Linked DNA regions of Tamandua tetradactyla. The protein of the gene in region 1 interacts with the protein of each later gene in a biochemical or structural test. Links are inferred from orthologs where the notes say so. Each region holds a gene or a part of one and is shown on either strand. Other genes may lie near its edges.

Region 1 (8,428 bases):
AGGAGTCAGTGACCCATAAGATTTGAATCCACTTTTCTCAGGCTTTTCCTTCAAATTAGGTATAGTTTCAAGGGTTTAGTATAGCTAAAAATATGAGAAAGACAGTGTCAGAAGGAGGGCCCATCTGGCTGGACCTGCCCCTTCTTTATGAGATTTTTTTTTTAACTTTTAATGAGATATGTTTTTGAGATTTTTCTTCCAAGGCTGGTGGGAAAGGACTGAAAATGTACTTAATGGAGAGGTTCATCTACTGACTTTTTAAAAAAATAACTTTTATTGTATAGTATAACATATCTACAAATTAAAGAAATAAAAAAGCAATAGTTTTCAAAGCACTATTTAACAAGTGGTTACAGGACAGATCCCAGAGTTTGTCATTTCAGATTTTTCCTTCTAGTTGCTCCAGAACACTGGAGGTTAGAAGGAGTATATCTATATTCTTTATCATCACTTTTTCTTTTTTGGGAAAAAATAACATATATACAAAAAAGCTATAAGTTTCAAAGCACACTGCAACAATTAGTTGTAGAACAGATTTCAGAGTTTGAAATGCATTACAATTCTACAATTTTAGGTTTTTACTTCTAGCTGCTTTAAAATACTGGAGACTAAAACAGATATCAGTTTAATGATTCAGCATTCATATTCATTTGTTAAATCCTATATTCTCTATATAACTCCACCATCACTTTTGATCTTTCCATCCTTCTCTTTAGGGTTGTTTGGGCTATGGCAATTTTAAATTTTTTATATTGGAAGGGTCTGTCACTAATATGGGGTAGGGAGATGGAACTATCTGATGTTCTGGAGAGGCTGGGTTAGTTTTCAGGACTTATCTGGACCAGGGACCCATTTGCAGGTTGTACGTTTCTGGAAAGTTACTCTAGTGCCTGGAACCCTTGTGGAATCTTATATATTGCCCTAGGTGTTCTTTAGGATTGGCTGGAATGGTCCTGGTTGGGGGTTGTCAGGTTATGACAGGTAGCAAGGTCTACCTGAAGCTTGCAAAAGAGCAACCTCCAGAGTAGTCTCTCAAATCTATTTGGACTCTGTCTGCCACTGGTACTTTATTAATTACACTTCTTTTTTCCCTTTTGATCAGGATGGAATTGTTGATCCCACAGTGCCAGGTCTGGATTCATCCCTGGGAGTCCTCTACCACGTTGCCAGGGAGACTTTCACACCTGGATGTCATGCCCCACTTAGAGGGGAGGGCAATGATTTCACTTGCAGAGTTGGGCTTAGAGAGACTGAGGCCACATCTGAGCAACAACAGAGGTCCTCCAGAAGTAACTCTCAGGTATGCCTATAGGTAGTCTAAGCTTCTCCGCTCCCTACATAAGCTTCACAAGAGTAAGCCTCATGACCGAGGGCATGGCCTATTGATTTGGATATCCCTGAAGTTTGACACAGTATCAGGGGATTCCCTGATGGTAAGGTTTAATGGTCTTTCTCTCCTCCCTCAGGGAACTTTGCCAATACTTTTTGGTTATCTGCTTAATATACTCTAGGATGTTTCCAGGCATTACAATAATCTATACAGGATTAAAAGACCTCTTTCTTATTCTGTGCTCCCTGTGTTTCAATGGTTCAAATGAGCTATACAGATACGTTGAATTAGATTATGCACTACAGAACATTTGTTCCAGATCAAATAAACCTTTCTTCCATTGCTCCAAAGAGTACGTGTGGTTCTAAAATATAGATGTTCTTAGTCTACCAATGCTGCCAGAATGCAACACACCCGAGATGGATGGGCTTTTGATAAAAGGGGATTTATTTAGTTGAAAACCGTATAGTTCTTCAGAGCAAAGGCAGCTAACTTTCCACTGAGGTTATTTCTTACGTGGGAAGGCACAGGGCGATCTCTGCTGGCCTTCTTTCCAACAACTTTTCCAGGGTGATTCCTTTCTGCATCTCCAAAGGCCTGGGCTGAGCTGCGAGTGCTGAGATGAGGTATGCTGAGCTGCTTGACTGTGCTATGTTGCATTCATTGCAGCAGGCACGCCTCCTAGCCAACTGCAGATGTAATCAGCAACAAATGAGGTTCACATGTCATCGGCTCATGTCCACAGCAATATAACTAGGCACCTTCACCTGGCCAAGTTGACAACTGCCTCTAACTACCACATGTCCACCCCTTGTCAACTTGGCAACTATATGCATCACCTTAAAGAATATTAAGGTGCAAGAAATTCTCTTCTAGTTGTGGACCTATGAATCTCAAAAACAAATGATCTGGAGCCAACATGCAAAGGAGGACATTCACAGGATACAGGTTTTCATTTCCATAGGGAGAAATTGGAAGGAACACAGGGGTCACTAGACCCAAACCGTTCTGAAAACCTCCAGGGCAAAGAGGAGGTATGCTGAGCTGCTTGGGCTGTGCTACGTTGAGTCTCTCATTTAAGCACCAGCCAATTAAATCAAATGTCATTCATTGCAGCAGGCTCGCCTCCTAGGTGACTGCAGGTGTAATCAGGAACAGACGAGGTTCATGTACCATTCACTCATGTCCACAGCATAGCACTAGGCACCTTCACCTGGCCAAGTTGACACCTGAACCTAACTACCACAACAGACACTGTCTTCCTTAACCCATGTTCTGAATTACTTTAACCCAAACCTGTTCGGCTTCATTCTTATCTCTAAATATCAGGTTATATATATAAAACAGCCTCTCAAAATCCAGAAATAATCACCATTCCGGACTTAATGTGTCTGCTCTAAAAGCTTACAATCTAGGCCCCTGTTTTCTTAGCATTTTCTGTAGGAGGCCATAACGTTGTTGTTTTTTTGTTTCTGGCTTATTTTGTCTCACCAAATGTCCCACATGTCCACTCACATCATAGCATGCCTCACGACTTTGTTCCTTTTTATAGCAGCACAGCCTTCATTCTTAAGTATACACCATCGTTAATCTACTTCTCTGTCAGTGCATCCTTCAGCCACCTGCATTCATCAGGCATCATGTAGAGAGCCCAAAGTCCACAGTCCATCAACATTCTCAATTTTAGATAATTTCATTGTTCCCAAGAGAAAGAAAATCAATAAAGACACCCTCACCAAATAGGAAATCTAAACCTTCTCTTAACTGTTGCCCCTTCCCCATTATTTACCTCTGCCGTTGCTGTGGTAGTGCTGATGGTTTTCTTTTGAACATTATTGGAATAATTGTGAGCACTTGTTTTAACGTAGGAAAATCTTTTATTCACTCAGCAACTTAAGAAGCACTCAGGACATATAAGACTCGGGGCTAAGTATTGCAAGGACATAAAATCAGACATGGATGCTACCATTCAGAATAACAGTGGCAGACACTTATTTAGTGTCATTATAATCCCTTCTATTGAACTAATCCTCAAGCATTACATTAGACCAAGCACTGAGTTAGACCCTGGAAAGACAACTGTAAAGATGCCACTGCCCTTGCTCTCAGGAGCTTACGTCTAATTCAGCCAGACAAGTAAATGAGAAATTCCAGTACCATGTGCTAAGGCCAGTAATAAGCGCAGGAGTTGGGACACTGTGCAGGCTGGGGCCAGACAGAAGCTGACATATGTAGCGAGCAATGACACAGGACAACCTGGAATTGTGTGTGTGTGTGCGTGTGTGTGTGTGATCCAGGATGAGGGAAGAGCTTTGTGCAAAACCCTGGAAATGAAAGCCCAGGATTGCAATGGACATTCTGGTTTATAGAGCAGTGCAAACTGATGCCACTAAATTGCTGAGTCAAGTTCCTCCATCCCTTATTCCCAAGTTCAAGAAGGGCTCCCGGCACGGACATCACCCGGAGTGTGGCTGAAACAGAGTGCTCTCTACCAGATAACCCCAGAGCCCCATCCTAGCCCACCCTGAACACTCTCTTGGGGGTCTTTACATACTTATCTTACCATTCATTCAGTCAGGCAATCAGCAAGTCCTGTGCCAGACTCCAGAAGCCAAGAGGGCCACGTGGCTTCTCAGAAGAGGTCTGGGGCAGTGGGCCACATCTCTGAATCCCACACAAAACCCAAAACTGTGCTTTGCACACAATGGTGCTTTCAGTCTACTAAATATAAAACTAAAAGCAAATAAGTTCATCTGACGGCCCCACGACTCTCTCAGCCCACGTCCTCCCCATCACCTGCCCCAGCCCCTCCGCTACTGCATTATCAGGCCCCCCCGCCCCTGCCTGGACCCGCCCCTGGCAAATGCAAGCAGCCAGCAGCCCAGCACCGGCGGAAGCTTAGGAGCAGGACTCGGAGCTCAAAAGAAGCTCGGGAGTGAGAACCACGCGGTGGCTTCCCGTTTCAGCTTTATGATCTCCAGCAAGGCACTCGCCGTGCAGCAGCCTGTTTCCTCATCTGTAAAAGGAGCTAATGACAGTTCCTTCCCGGGATCTGCCGAGCGCGAGCGGGAAACCGGACCGTCGCGGGAAGACCAGACCGCGCGGCCGGCACACAGACGCCACTGGGCGGCGAGGAGGACGGCGGCCCGGCAGTCCTGAAGTCCGGACTAGGGCCTGCAACCGCAGCAGCCAACGGCCTGCCGCAAGCGGCGAGAGAGCGCGGCGCTGCCCCTGGCGACGCGGGCCCCGCCCCGGCCTCCGCAGGGACAGCCGCCTGCGTCACCCGCGCGGCCCGCGGCCCCTCCCGGGCCGGCCCACACATGGCGGGAACGTGAGGGGGCGGGGCCGGCTCGGCGCCGCGGGGGCCAATCGGGAGGTGCCCAGCCAATGGCAGAGCGGCTCCGGGGCCCGAGGGGCGGGCCGCCGAGAGGCGCGGCGGCGTCATGGGTCCATGGGCGGGCTGGGGGCGGGGCCCGAGGGGCCGCTCGGGGCGGAGCGGCGGGGCCGGCGCAGACGCGGCGGTGATGGCGGCGGCTGGGGCGATGGCGGGCGCGGCGGCCCCGGCACCGGCGCTGGGCGCGGATGGCGCCTCCTCGGTTCACTGGTTCCGCAAGGGGCTGCGACTCCACGACAACCCGGCGCTGTTGGCGGCGGTGCGCGGGGCGCGCTGCGTGCGCTGCGTGTACATCCTCGATCCTTGGTTCGCGGCCTCCTCGTCAGTCGGGATCAACCGGTGGAGGTGAGGGGGGGCCCGGGGCGGGGGCGCGGGCCGGGGCGCGCGGCCGGGGCTCCGGGGGCGCCCTCGGACCAGGAGGCTTTGCCCCGACCGCGGCGGGAAGACCCCGGCCTGAGGGAGGTGGGCAGGGAGACGGAGCGGGTCTCCAAGGGCGAGAAGCCGGGCCGGGGTCGCCTTAGGGCGCTCGTTCGCGCGCCGGTGGGCGAGGGCGTAGCCTCTGACCCAGCGCTGTCGCGGGTGCGGTGGCCCCTGTGCGCCGCACTGTGTCCCGCGGGACACCTGTGTTCCTCCAGCCCAGCTGACACCCCTGCGCCCTAGGAAAGCGAGGCTGACCTGCCAAGGACGTGCAGCGAGGGGAAGGCACAGCGGGGCCTCCTGCCCCCGGGCTCTTCCGGGTGTGCCGGGGAGGGCAGGAAAGAAGATCTGCGCGGTGTGACGGCAGGGCGGATTTCTCTAGTAGGATCTGAGGCTCCTGAAGGTCATCCCTAAACCCCGGGTTCTCCGAGTCCCATCCTGCCTTCCCCTCCACATCGACATCTGGGGTTGTCTAGAGATGCTGGTCCTGCACGATCATGACAACCCAGAGGTGTCCTTTGTACCTGCGTCCTGGAGCAGTACTTCTCTCATTTTGGAGAATTCCCTAGCAGCCGCGAGCTTGCTCTAAAATAAGAACCAAACAAGGCATCACCCCCTTCTTCCTCTTCTCATGCGTTGGTTTTAAAGGACACTCGAGCCATTACAGGTTAGACTAATATGCGCTGCCGTGCTAAGTTTTGGGAACAGGAGGGCCCCTCCTGAGAGGACTCCCAGGAGATGCATTGACAGGGTCATGAGGAAAGGATTAACAGATAGGGAGCTGGTGTTTTATCTCTGTACTAGTATCCAAAACCGAGGAGTTTTGAGACATCACGTACCCAGCTCTCTTTAACACACCGCGGAGCAGTTTCTTGGTTTGTTCGCATCGTTGGGGCCGGGTGGGGGGGTGGGGGGGTGGGGGGTGGTTCTGCTTGTGGCCTTTCTGCGTCCCTAAGCTGCTTTAGTCCCAGGAAACATTAGCTCTTAACACGCTGTTCTTTCAGCACCAAGGTTTTGCTCTGCTGGGAGAATGAGTGCCTCTAGTAATGGGTCTAATAAATGCCCCCTCCTGCCACATTTTTATGGAGGGAATGACTAAAGATAATCCCGTGGAGAAGCTGCCCACACAGTTTTCAGTCTGCTCTATTGATCTCTCTGCTCCAGTTTCTATAGATAGGAGGTTGGGTTTGACAAACATATTCAAATGACCATCCGTAGAGATGTCATTGAACCAGGCCTCAGACTTTGCCCCCTCCTGTGGCAGTGTGCCAGTCAGAGCAGAGTAAATAGAATCTCCCTCCCTGCTTGTTACATTGTCACCAAGGAGTTTCTTCTTTTATTGGGTTTTGCCAGATATTTCATAGAACTACCAACTTCTTTGTGGTAGTTGGGGAGATTAAAAACAAAACCCTGTTGCTGATTAAACTTAGATTTGCTGGAAACTAGGTGTTTATGGATTTTTGTGGGTCACCCCTTTGTGATTGTGCTTTTAAGCAAGTGAGGGAAAAAAGGAAAGTGGCAGTTCAGATGCCTGAGTAAAATTGTGGAGTCAGAGGTCCTATAGGAATGTAGATGTTAATTGAGCAATTACTTAATGAATGCCTAATATCTGCTAGACACAGTCCTAGGTACTACTAGGGATGTAGCAGTGAACAAGCAGACATGGGGCTCTGAGAAACTACATTTTAGTGGAGGGAATACAAGTAAGCAACCATAATTCAGTAGAACTAAGTGCCATGAAAAAAAAAATAATAAATAGTGGGTGGGCTAGAGCAGTAGTTCTCAATCTTGGCTTCATAGTGAAATCACCTAAAGATCTTTAAAAGATGCCTGGCCCTCACTCCTACCCCATCCCCTCCCCCGATTCTAATTTTTTGGGAAAAGGCCTGGGCAGCAGGCCATTTTTAAAACTCTCATATGCAACTGAGCTTGAGAACCACTGAACTAGAGAGCCACAAACCTGAGCCCGACCCCCTGGCAGATGCGTTGCAGTGCACTGGCAGGCCGTCTTAACTAGCTTGGCGTTCAGATGAGAGAGGTGAAATAGCACAAAACAGGTAGAACGTGAGGCCCTGGAAACAGGCGTACTCCTGCCACCCCCGCCGCACTGTGCTCCCGGGGTCTGGGGAGAGGCAGTGGTGCACGCTGTTATGCACACACGGCTGGAGGCAGGGAGGGTGTCGAAGCCTCACATACATCCGCAGAGCTACAGTCTGTCATCTTCCAGCGGCTGGTTTTGAATTTGGGAGAATTGTGCTGCTTCATGACAGTCCCAGCTCTGTAACTGCTGAGCTGCTGTATTTGAGAAGCGTCCCTAGGAAGGGTGGGCCCAGGCCGTCTGCAAGGGGTGGATGTGATCTCCGTAACCCTTCTGTACTGCCTGTACTGACCTCTGCCCAGTTTTTTTCCTGCAGATAAAATCAAATTAAAATAACCATGAATGACACTCTCTGAGAGTAAATGAAGATAGAGAAAAACAACCAGAAATATGTATATTATTGATTGGGGTGGCAGACGAGCATACTCCTTGACTTGGGGGTAGTAGGGACTTTGTGGTTAATTGTAGCTATATGAACCTCAGGAGGTTTTTTTGTTAAAGTGGCTGGCTTTGCCATATTCCCCAGCCTTACCTTCTCCACATATGCTGCATCTGGAAGGAAGTGCTACAATCAAAACAAAAAAAATAGGAAAATGTGACAGTGTCTAGATTTTAAAATAGATACTTGAAATAGGCCCTTGCAGTTTTCATTACTTTTCTCTCCCTACTGCAACTTAGGTAGGTGTTGGCAGCAATGTTCCTCACATTTTATTTAAAACGTCTTGTCCCTAGCTCTGTGCTGCATCTGCATTCAGGAGCTAGTAGGACAAAGGGAGTTGGTAGAAATGTGTACAAACTTAATGGGTTCTCTCTCAGTCAGTATAACTCAGAATTAGTAAATGAGGTGAAATGGGAACTCTCCAGGGCGCCTGGTGGAGCCAATGATTTATCCTTCCACATGCTTGGAGCTAAACAGTGTTGATTGTTCTGAGTCGTTCTTTTCTTTTAGAACCTGGTCAGCGAGAAGAGGGTCGAGAGCTATGGGCTGCTGGCGGGGAAATTCGAGTTTCTCTGAGCTGTTCCCACTTGTTATTTCACTGTTTTGCTGCTGGGGAAACCGTTTCAGTTTGCCCCAAAGGGAGAAAACCTTCATCTTTGAAATTAAGAAAGAATAAATATATTTTTATCTGAATGATACTTAATCCTGCCATGGATTGTAGGTTTGAGTTAACCTTTTCCAGGAGGCTTA
Region 2 (8,869 bases), on another chromosome or scaffold:
TTATTTAAATATGCCTATAGTTAAGCTAAAAAAAAGTTAAAAAAAAGTAAATATATAAATAATCTCAAAATTAAAATATCTAGAGTGCTTGCAGAGATAAAGAAGGCATAAAATTCATTTAAAATGATTATTTAAAACTAGATGGATATGAGACAAAACAAATTATAAATGTTGGGAATGAGAAATTTAATAAGTTGCTATAAATTCTAGACTGGAAACAGTCAAAGGAAAAATCAGTGAACTGGAAGTGTAATATAACAAAGAGGAAGAAAGAAACAAAAATATGAAAGGGTGAAGAGATATATAAGAGGTAAAGAGATGAATTGAGAAGAGCAAACATAAAGTCCTTAAGACCAAAATAGAAGGACTGGTGGGACAGGAATCTTTTTAGAGATAAAGGCTTGGGTTTTAATGCCCTATAAGGACAAGAGATGAGTTTGCAAGAGAAGTTGTAACTGAAATCCCTGCATAAAGCAGGAATTTTGAAGATCTTCATCCTCCTTAAGAAATGTTTAACTTAGGACACAAAGAGATGAACAACAAACTAATATGTCTTTGAATGGGATCTGGTTTTAAAAAGAAGGTCTTTTTAAACGTTTTTACTGTGAAATTTAACATTTATACATAAAAGTGATAAATTTCAAAGTACATTTTAATGAGCAGCTTTAGAACAAATTTCAGTGTATGGTATGGGGTACAGTTCCACCATTTCAGGTGTTTACTTCTAGCTGCCCTAAGACACTGGAGACTAAAAAGGAATATCAATATAATGATTAAGTAATCATATTCATTTGTTAAATCCTATCTTCTCTGATACAACTCCTCCTTCTCCTATGATCCTACTCCCACTGTTTTTTTTTTTTTTCCACTTTCAAACCCATTTTTTATTTTCTTTTTTCCTCCTCAACATACAGAACCTCAGGGGTGTCTACATAACCACATTTATTGCAGCTATAAAGTCACTTGATACTGGTCAGGTACCATTTATTCTTTTATCATTTTATCCCTAAAAGTTGTTGGCATCAAAATACGACAGTTAACCAGTGTTAAATCCATAAAATATTTACAGAGTATAGCGCATTAAGTTTTAGACACCTGGCAATTAAACCACATAAAACCAGGACAAGACCCCCATTACACATGTTCTGAGTCAGGCATTTAGCAGCCCCTAATACAGCATCTTTACACTAGTCAAAGGGCGGCAGAGGCAGTAGCTTTGGAGCACACTGAATATTATGATCTGGAAGCACATTATGATGTTACCCCAGTGTTATGTACCAACCCACTTTCTCCAAGGTAGTCTCATAATTCTAAAATGGCAGGTCCAGCTGATACAAAATGAAGACAAGACAACACAAAATTTATTCTGTGAAAATATCCTACTATACTATGCCTTCACTGTAATTTTGAACACAACTTGTCTCAAAAACTTGTCGTGATCATCCTGGCATTTTAGATTGGGTGGCCCATCAATCTGGCACTCAACTATCATCTCTTTCTTGGTACTGTTGGAGCCAAATCCTGGCTGGACAGAAACTACTGGCTAAATATTCCACGTGCATTTTTTTTCCCACAATATGGAAAATATTTTAAGTCTACAATTGCACTGTGAGGATAATTTAATAAAACTGCCATGTTTCCGTCCTTGGGAATGCATATTATCCTTGGTTCTCCTTCAGGTTTTAATCCAATTATTCTGTTCATTTTCACAAGAATATAAGGTTTTCCTTTGGAATAGCCAAAGTCAGGATCTCTCATACCACTGAATGCTTCAAGTAAGTGATCAACAAACTGACATGCATGATAATCTGGGCCTTTCTATTCAAAAAGTACTCCATCAGGGAAGACCATGACATTTTTCTGTCCTTGTAAATCATATGGCCTTAGAAGATTAGTAATGTCTTCAATGTATGCTTTATAGGAATCTGAATCAGACAAACCGATTGTATATTCCAATGCCGTAAATGGTTTTGGGAAAACCATAAGTCCTGGACTAGGAAGCTGGTCACAGTATTTTGGAACCTTATCATTCAGAGTCTGAAGCATAACCCACATTGTGAATGTGAAGAGTGCAGCCAGGAGCCCATAGAAGACTAGGTAGAAAAGCAAGATCAAACTGCAGCTCTTGGCGGTGCGCCCCAGGCACTCTCTAGTGGTTAGGTTGTAGACAAAGAGCTTCTACACTGCCAAGCTCTCATGGAAGAACTTCCCTTCTCCCACTCTTTAGGGATATTTGGGCAATGGTCATTCTTCTTCATGTTTAAAAGGGGTGCCGACATTATGGGGTAGGAGTATGCAGATGGTTGATGGTCTTGGAGAAACTGGTAACTAGGTTTCTGGGCTTTTCTGGCCTAGGAACCATCTGAAAGTTATAGGTTTCTGAAAAATAGTGAGTGAAACTTTCATAGAATCTCAGAGCACTGGGTACTCTTGAGGATTTACAGGGCTATGACAATTATTATTATCTAGCTGCAGTTTGCATAAGAGTAACCTCCAGAATAGCTTCTCAACTCTATTTGAAATCTCTTAGCCACTGATATCTTACTTATTTTACATTTCTTCTCCCCGTTTTAGCCAGGTAGGCATTGTCAATCCCACAGTACCAGGGCCAGGCTTATCCCTGGAAGTCCTGCCCATATTGCCAGGGAGACTTATATCACTGGAAGAAAGCCTTTTTGAGAATTCATAACCACGGGCCTACCCTCACACAGGTTGGAATTTGAATTTATACTCTCTTTATAACTTAAGTAACCCAAAATTAAGAAATTATTATAAAAATTGTTCCTGGCTAGTAATAGCCTGAAGCTACCGGCAAAAGCAAACTAAAAAACCTCTCTGGAATGACGTGCACTCAACCAGGTTGCACAAGATTTCTAGAATTAAAGCATCACAAAGGATGAATTCACAATTCAAAATCATAGAATACATTAAGGACAACCCATCATGAGCAAACACTGACACGTATCTAGATTAGACCCCTGATTACTTAATATGACTAAAAAGATTACAGAAAAATAAGAGAAGAATTTAAAACATGAGAAAAGAACATCAAGAAAGATCATGCAGATGTTTTACAGAACCAAATGAAACTTTTAGAAATAAAAAACACAGGCAATGACTGGGTTAAGCAGATACTGAATAGAACTGAAAAGAGAATTAGTGAATTGTAAGACAGTTCTGAGAAAACTACAAAGAATTAAATATAGAAAAATAAAGAAATAACTGTGAAATTAAGAGATACGGCAGCAAACCTCCCACGTAGAAAAATCCCATATAGTTTAAGGAGCATAATTCCCCACCCCGCCAGTATGGGTTAGACATAGTGAGTTCCTTACAAACAGAGCATAGAAGGGGAAGAAAAGAGTATCTACTGTGGAGAAAGTTGACCTCAACACCTGATCAATGCTAACACCTACAGGGTTAAGTCATGATGATAGCATGCGCCTGATGTGATGGGATGAGAATGGTATTTCACCCCTGTGGACTCCTTCCCAAACACCCATAACCCTGGTCTTATGAAAAAAAACATCAGAAAAACCCTAATTGAAGAACATTTTACAAAATACCAGATCAGCTTTCCTCAAAACTGTCAAACTCCTCAAAAACAGGTAAGTCTGAGATGGTGTATAAGGAACTACGGCCACATAACCTAGTCTTTCCTGGTCAGCGGGTGCCTAGGTGGAGTGGTCCTGGGAGCGTTCTGTTCCCAGAGGAAGGGGTACATTTTCTGTACAGAATTGAAAAACAATAACAAAACTGACTATAAGTTGTCCTGCTTTTATTATCATAATGCACCTGCAATTCTAAACAAGTTCAATAATAAAATATTGCTCCCTCCTGGATGGAACTACTCCACAGTCACCCTTTCCAACCCCTGTGCCAATGATGTTGACTGATACAATGGACAACTGTAATTACTGAATGATTTATAAATAAGCAGAGGTTTTCTTTCTGAAAAAAAGTGAAATAAAAAATTTAAATAACTCTAACAGGAAAAAGAGGGGAGGTTTAAATGCAAAGTGTGCTAAGGTCCTCCTCTACTTCAGGAGGAAAATGGGGAAGTGAAAAGCGGCCACTTTTGGAGGGTGAGAGTTTTAATGTGATATACTGGCTATGTTTTTTGATTGGTTGAAGTGTTTTGCTGTTAACCTAGTTTCAAATAAATGGACCTGAATTTGACCTATTTGCCTTTCTTCTTCTAATAATTAGCAATGCCTTTCCTAGAACGTCCTATTGTTACCCAGTCACTAAGGGACCTAAAAAAATATTGAAGTTCAGGTACAGCTGCATTAATAAGCTGCTAGAGACTGTTCCATTTTAGAAAGCTATTTACTAATCTCAGGAACCTATTTACCTCATAAAAACAAAGATGGTTTTTAAAATAGAAATAATAACAAATAATTCCTATTAAAAAATCATTTTAGGAAGATTTAGAAAATAATTACCTAAATAGAAATCATCTATAATCCCACCCTTAATACGGCAACCATCCGGTTATATTTCCTTGCAGTGTTTTAAACATTTAATGCATATATTACGTGTATATATTTTTAGAGCCTGTATTTTTAACCCCTTAGGTTATGGGGCACTAGGCGTAGCCATCCCGAAGGCCATCTCAGCGAGCTGTCAACAGCCACTGTTTATCCTTCCGCCCAGGGGAACCGGCTGCGGAGTTACAGCAGACTCGAAACTTCTCTTTTCTTCTTTTTGCACCACCTCCCTAAACTTTCCTATTTTAGCAATAATTTTAAAAGTAAGAGCCACGTCTGAGGAGATAAAGGTGGCAGCCTCTCTGGAACCAGGCGCTGGAAGCCCGCAGCCGCGCGGGGAAGGCACACCCGGCTCCGGCTGCGCACGCTACGGCTGGGCGCGGCTCCTCTACCGTCCTCCGCAGCGCGCACCCGCCCCACGCGGGGGGAGACGCGCCGGGAAAGCGCGCGGCCGTGAGCCGCAGGCGCCATTTTGGACTCCGTGTCTGGGCTGAGACGCTGGGCAGCTCCGTGGTGGCCGCAGCTCGCTGAGGGAGTCTGTCGCAGTGGCGGAAGGACCCGGAAGGGGGTCGCGTCGGCGTGGGACTGAAAAAGAAGACTTCTCCTGGGTAGCCACAGCCGCAAAGGTGGAGCCACGTTGGCGCCCGCCGGGGGACCAGCGCCTCGGATGCGGGCGGAGCGCGGGGGGCCGCGGCGGCGGGAGCGCGAAGCGGGGTTCCCGGGGGGCCTCATGTGAGAGCCGCGGGACCAGCCGCCGCCCTCCTCCCCGGACCCCGGGGTGGTGTATGGGGGAAGCCGCCCCCGGCAGCAGGTAACGGCGGAGGGGCAGGGCCGGAGCCCCGCTGCGACGACGGGGCCGGGGGAGGGTCTGCAGTCCTCTTCTTGATGGGCGGGGTTCGCGGGGTCCCCGGCGTGCGGGGGAGCGCCCCTTGGACGCTGCGGGCGGGGCGCCGGGCGCGGCTCCCAGACCTTGGAGCCTGTTTGGGGGCGTTTCCCCGCGGTGCCTGCTTCCAAACGTCAACAAGGCGTGGTGCCTGTGCGGCGGTCGCGTGCGGCCCTCCCCGTGACGCCGCGGAGCTCGCCGCAGCTCCTGCCGCGCTTGGCGGGCTTTGGTGACAGGTACTGTGGGGTTCGCGCCCCGCCAGTTCCTTTTCGGCGTCGGCTACACCAATGCTCGTAGCTTGAGAAATTACAGGGATTAGGATGTCAAAACGAACTGAAGGGTAGAGGCAGGAGTTATATCAGGGAAAGCCAATCCGTGGAGGTGGCGGAGGGAGGCAGAGACGCTCCCGCCGCGTAGCCAAGTGGAAAACTTGGTCAGCTTGTGCTGAGCAGCATTGTGCTTCCTTTTCGCGTGAACAGCCTTTTTAGGTGGAACTGCAGATAGTGCTCAGAAAGCAGCCCATCAAATGACTGGCTTGCATCTCCGAGTTAAGAATTGAAAGAGATTTAATTAATTTGTTGATGTCCGCCGAGTGGCCTGTCTTTTAATTAGAATCTTCTTTTTAACTTGAAAAAAGTTAGCTTCTACTATTCGTGAAATGTTTATAAAAATGCCATCAACTTCCCAGTGATCTACATATGATTACTGGATGTGTTCACCACGTTCTCCCTACCATCCAGTTCTGAGAGTTAATGCTGTTTCCACTTTTCTATTGTATTCCAGTCAAGGAATATATATTAATTTTGATATTAGTCAAGGCAAAACAAAAATGGAAAGGAGATTTGATGCAAAAACAGGCATTTAGCTTTCAAGAGCTAACTGCTGATGGGCTTTAAAAATTATTACATATCCAGCATATGTGAAAGTGCTGATGCAATGAGGGGCATACAGCAGCGTGTTCTCTGGTGAGCTGAAATCTATTTGATGAGTAATTTGACTGTTCCTGTCAGTTTATGGAACTGTTAGTTACTTCAGTAGCTCTCTTTGCTGCTCAACTAGTTTGTAGTTTTTCCTCTTAGGTTTTTTGGGGGGAGAGGCAGTTCCCAATAATATCAGTCCGTTCACTCATCAGAAGCTCTAATAAGTTGAATTAATTATTTGGGGCCTCAAAAGTTGTAATGTGAAATTAAACTGCCTAAGCAGCTCTGCGGAGGCCTGATTTTGTTGCTCAAGAAAGTCTCATTGATGTGTATTGTCCATATCTGTCCTACCCTCTCCTGTTCAGATATAAAAGGTGTTTTCTCTTTGACTAAAAGTAGAAGATATATAAGTTTACTGACATAAATTATTTGCAGACTGGTGGATCTGAATCGTTTAATTTTCTATACAGCAGTTTCATGTGCAGATAGAGTAAATAAAATATTTTTGAAAGCAGTGTAAATTTTTGCACGAAAAATTGGCATTTTAAAATTGTATTAAATGCCCACTCCTTTTATTTTCATGCATAAATGAAGACAATAGATTATTGTTTTTTGTCTGCATTTAGCCTTATATTTGTAGATTTGCTTTTTAAATCTAGGTTAAGATCCTAATTATGATATAATGTAGTTCAATGACATATGGCAATTGATAGATTTTTGTTCAGCTACTCATAAACTAATCAATGTTTAAAATATACTTTGGTGAACATGGAAATACTATACCTTAGTGTTGAATACTTTGGGTTTTTTTTTCCCTCCTACTCCCAACTTGGAAAAGTATTGAAATATACTTGAAAACAGGGCTAAATAAACAAATGTATCTATTGTTAGGATCAGCAGTTTTACCAAAGATAATTGTGTGAATGACCAGTTTATTTTTTAAACAGCTTTCTTGAGATATATAGTTCACTGATGATACATTTCACCCATTTAAAGTGTACTTTATTGTTTTAAACATTTTTCATTATAATAAAACATACATGGCTTAAAATTTCCCCTTTTAACTACTTTCATGTACACAATTCAGTGATACTAATTACATTCACAGATGCTCACATGGTGTGCTATCATCACCACCACCCCAGTATCATTTTTGTTTATATGTCCATATATTCTAAAGTAAGGCTAATAATTGCAGCTTTTAATAGAGTATTTCTGGTTTTAGAAGACTTTTCTCCAAAAAAATGGGGTCAGCAATCTATAATGAGGAGTAGAAATTGTCAAGATTGCTGTATTCTGTTATGAATCTTTGTATTTTAAAATTCTGAGTAGTTTCAGGTAGTCAGAGGAAAAATTATAAGCTTTGAATAGCAAATGCTTAGTTCTTTGGCCCAAATTTTATATGCTAAAATTAAAGTATGACTTTAAAACAAGTTAAAGCAGAAAAATGGGTCATAATGACAGTGTAATCTCAACCTTTGGTAGGACATTACTACTAGGAGAGGTTTCTTCTTTTTTTTTTAATTTTAAAGATTATATTGTAGATTATACCTTTGTTTAAAATCACTTCAAAATGTGTTAAAAGTTAATAAGTTTCAGTTTTCCATAAAAGTACCCTGTTAACTATTATTTTTGTTATTCTATTTTCTCCCATCCTCTCTGTCTTCTCAGTAGGCTATATATCATTTATTTCACTTAACTCAGATGCTTGGAAGTAGGAGCAATGAGGCATAGGCAGTTTATTGTACATATGCTAAGACCTGGGCTCATTTTCATGGCATGGAGGTCAGGCTCCTCTTGCCATTCTGCCTCTATTCTCCAGCTCCTAATCCTCTTTCACAAGTTTTGCTAGCTACTGGAGAGAGCTGTTCGGTTTATGATTATTCTTATGCATGTCCTTCTTCCCACACAGGAACCAGAGAGAAATTTTCATACCTTCATGTGCCAGAAGAAGGGAGTTGGAACTATAGGCCATTCTTTTGAAAGGCCATGATCCCAAGTCTAGGTTCAAACGACCACTTACTTAGATTAGCTCTCTAGAAACAGAAGTATTGCAGGCTGTAAACTAAATGGGTACTAGTGAATGATCTGTAGTTACCCCATTTAATTCAGAGGCTGCAATACATACTTTCCAACAACAACAAAAAACAAGGCCTTTTTTAAAAATCTGATTACAAAACAACAGATGTTAAAAGAAATGTGTAAAATATAGAAAGGAAAAGCACACTGACAAAAAAGAATCACCAGTAATCCTATGGCCCACTCTTAGTTATTGTAATAATTTGGTGACTCTACTTCCAGTTTGTTTTTCTCTTATAACTACCCCCCCCCCACACATATACACACACTTTTTTTAAAACTTTTTATTGTATAGTACAACATATATACAAAGCAAAGAAATAAAAAGTAGCCATTTCAAAACACTCTTCAAAAAGTGGTTACAGGAGAGATCCTAGAGTTTGTCATGGGCTACCATATGATCCGCTCATATTTTTACTACTAGCTGCTCCAGAATATAGGAGGCTAGAGGACTTAAATACTTTCTTATCATCACAATAGACTTTTTTTCCTTTTTT

Evidence for each region.
Region 2: the proteins of CRY2 (region 1) and FBXL3 form a complex in vitro, tested with the Homo sapiens proteins (2 studies listed by BioGRID, with this or other methods). The link is inferred for Tamandua tetradactyla from reciprocal best matches to the Homo sapiens genes CRY2 and FBXL3.

Annotation. Positions count from the first base shown.
Region 1 is NC_135334.1:122,493,881-122,502,308, forward strand, and holds the start of CRY2 (cryptochrome-2), read left to right. Parts: upstream 1-4,845; 5' UTR 4,846-4,854; coding exon 4,855-5,069; intron 5,070-8,428. UniProt on the Homo sapiens protein: Transcriptional repressor which forms a core component of the circadian clock.
Region 2 is NC_135330.1:144,768,683-144,777,551, reverse strand, and holds the start of FBXL3 (F-box/LRR-repeat protein 3), read left to right. Parts: upstream 1-5,171; 5' UTR 5,172-5,275; coding exon 5,276-5,301; intron 5,302-5,589; exon of another isoform or gene 5,590-5,609; intron 5,610-8,869. UniProt on the Homo sapiens protein: Substrate-recognition component of the SCF(FBXL3) E3 ubiquitin ligase complex involved in circadian rhythm function. Plays a key role in the maintenance of both the speed and the robustness of the circadian clock oscillation.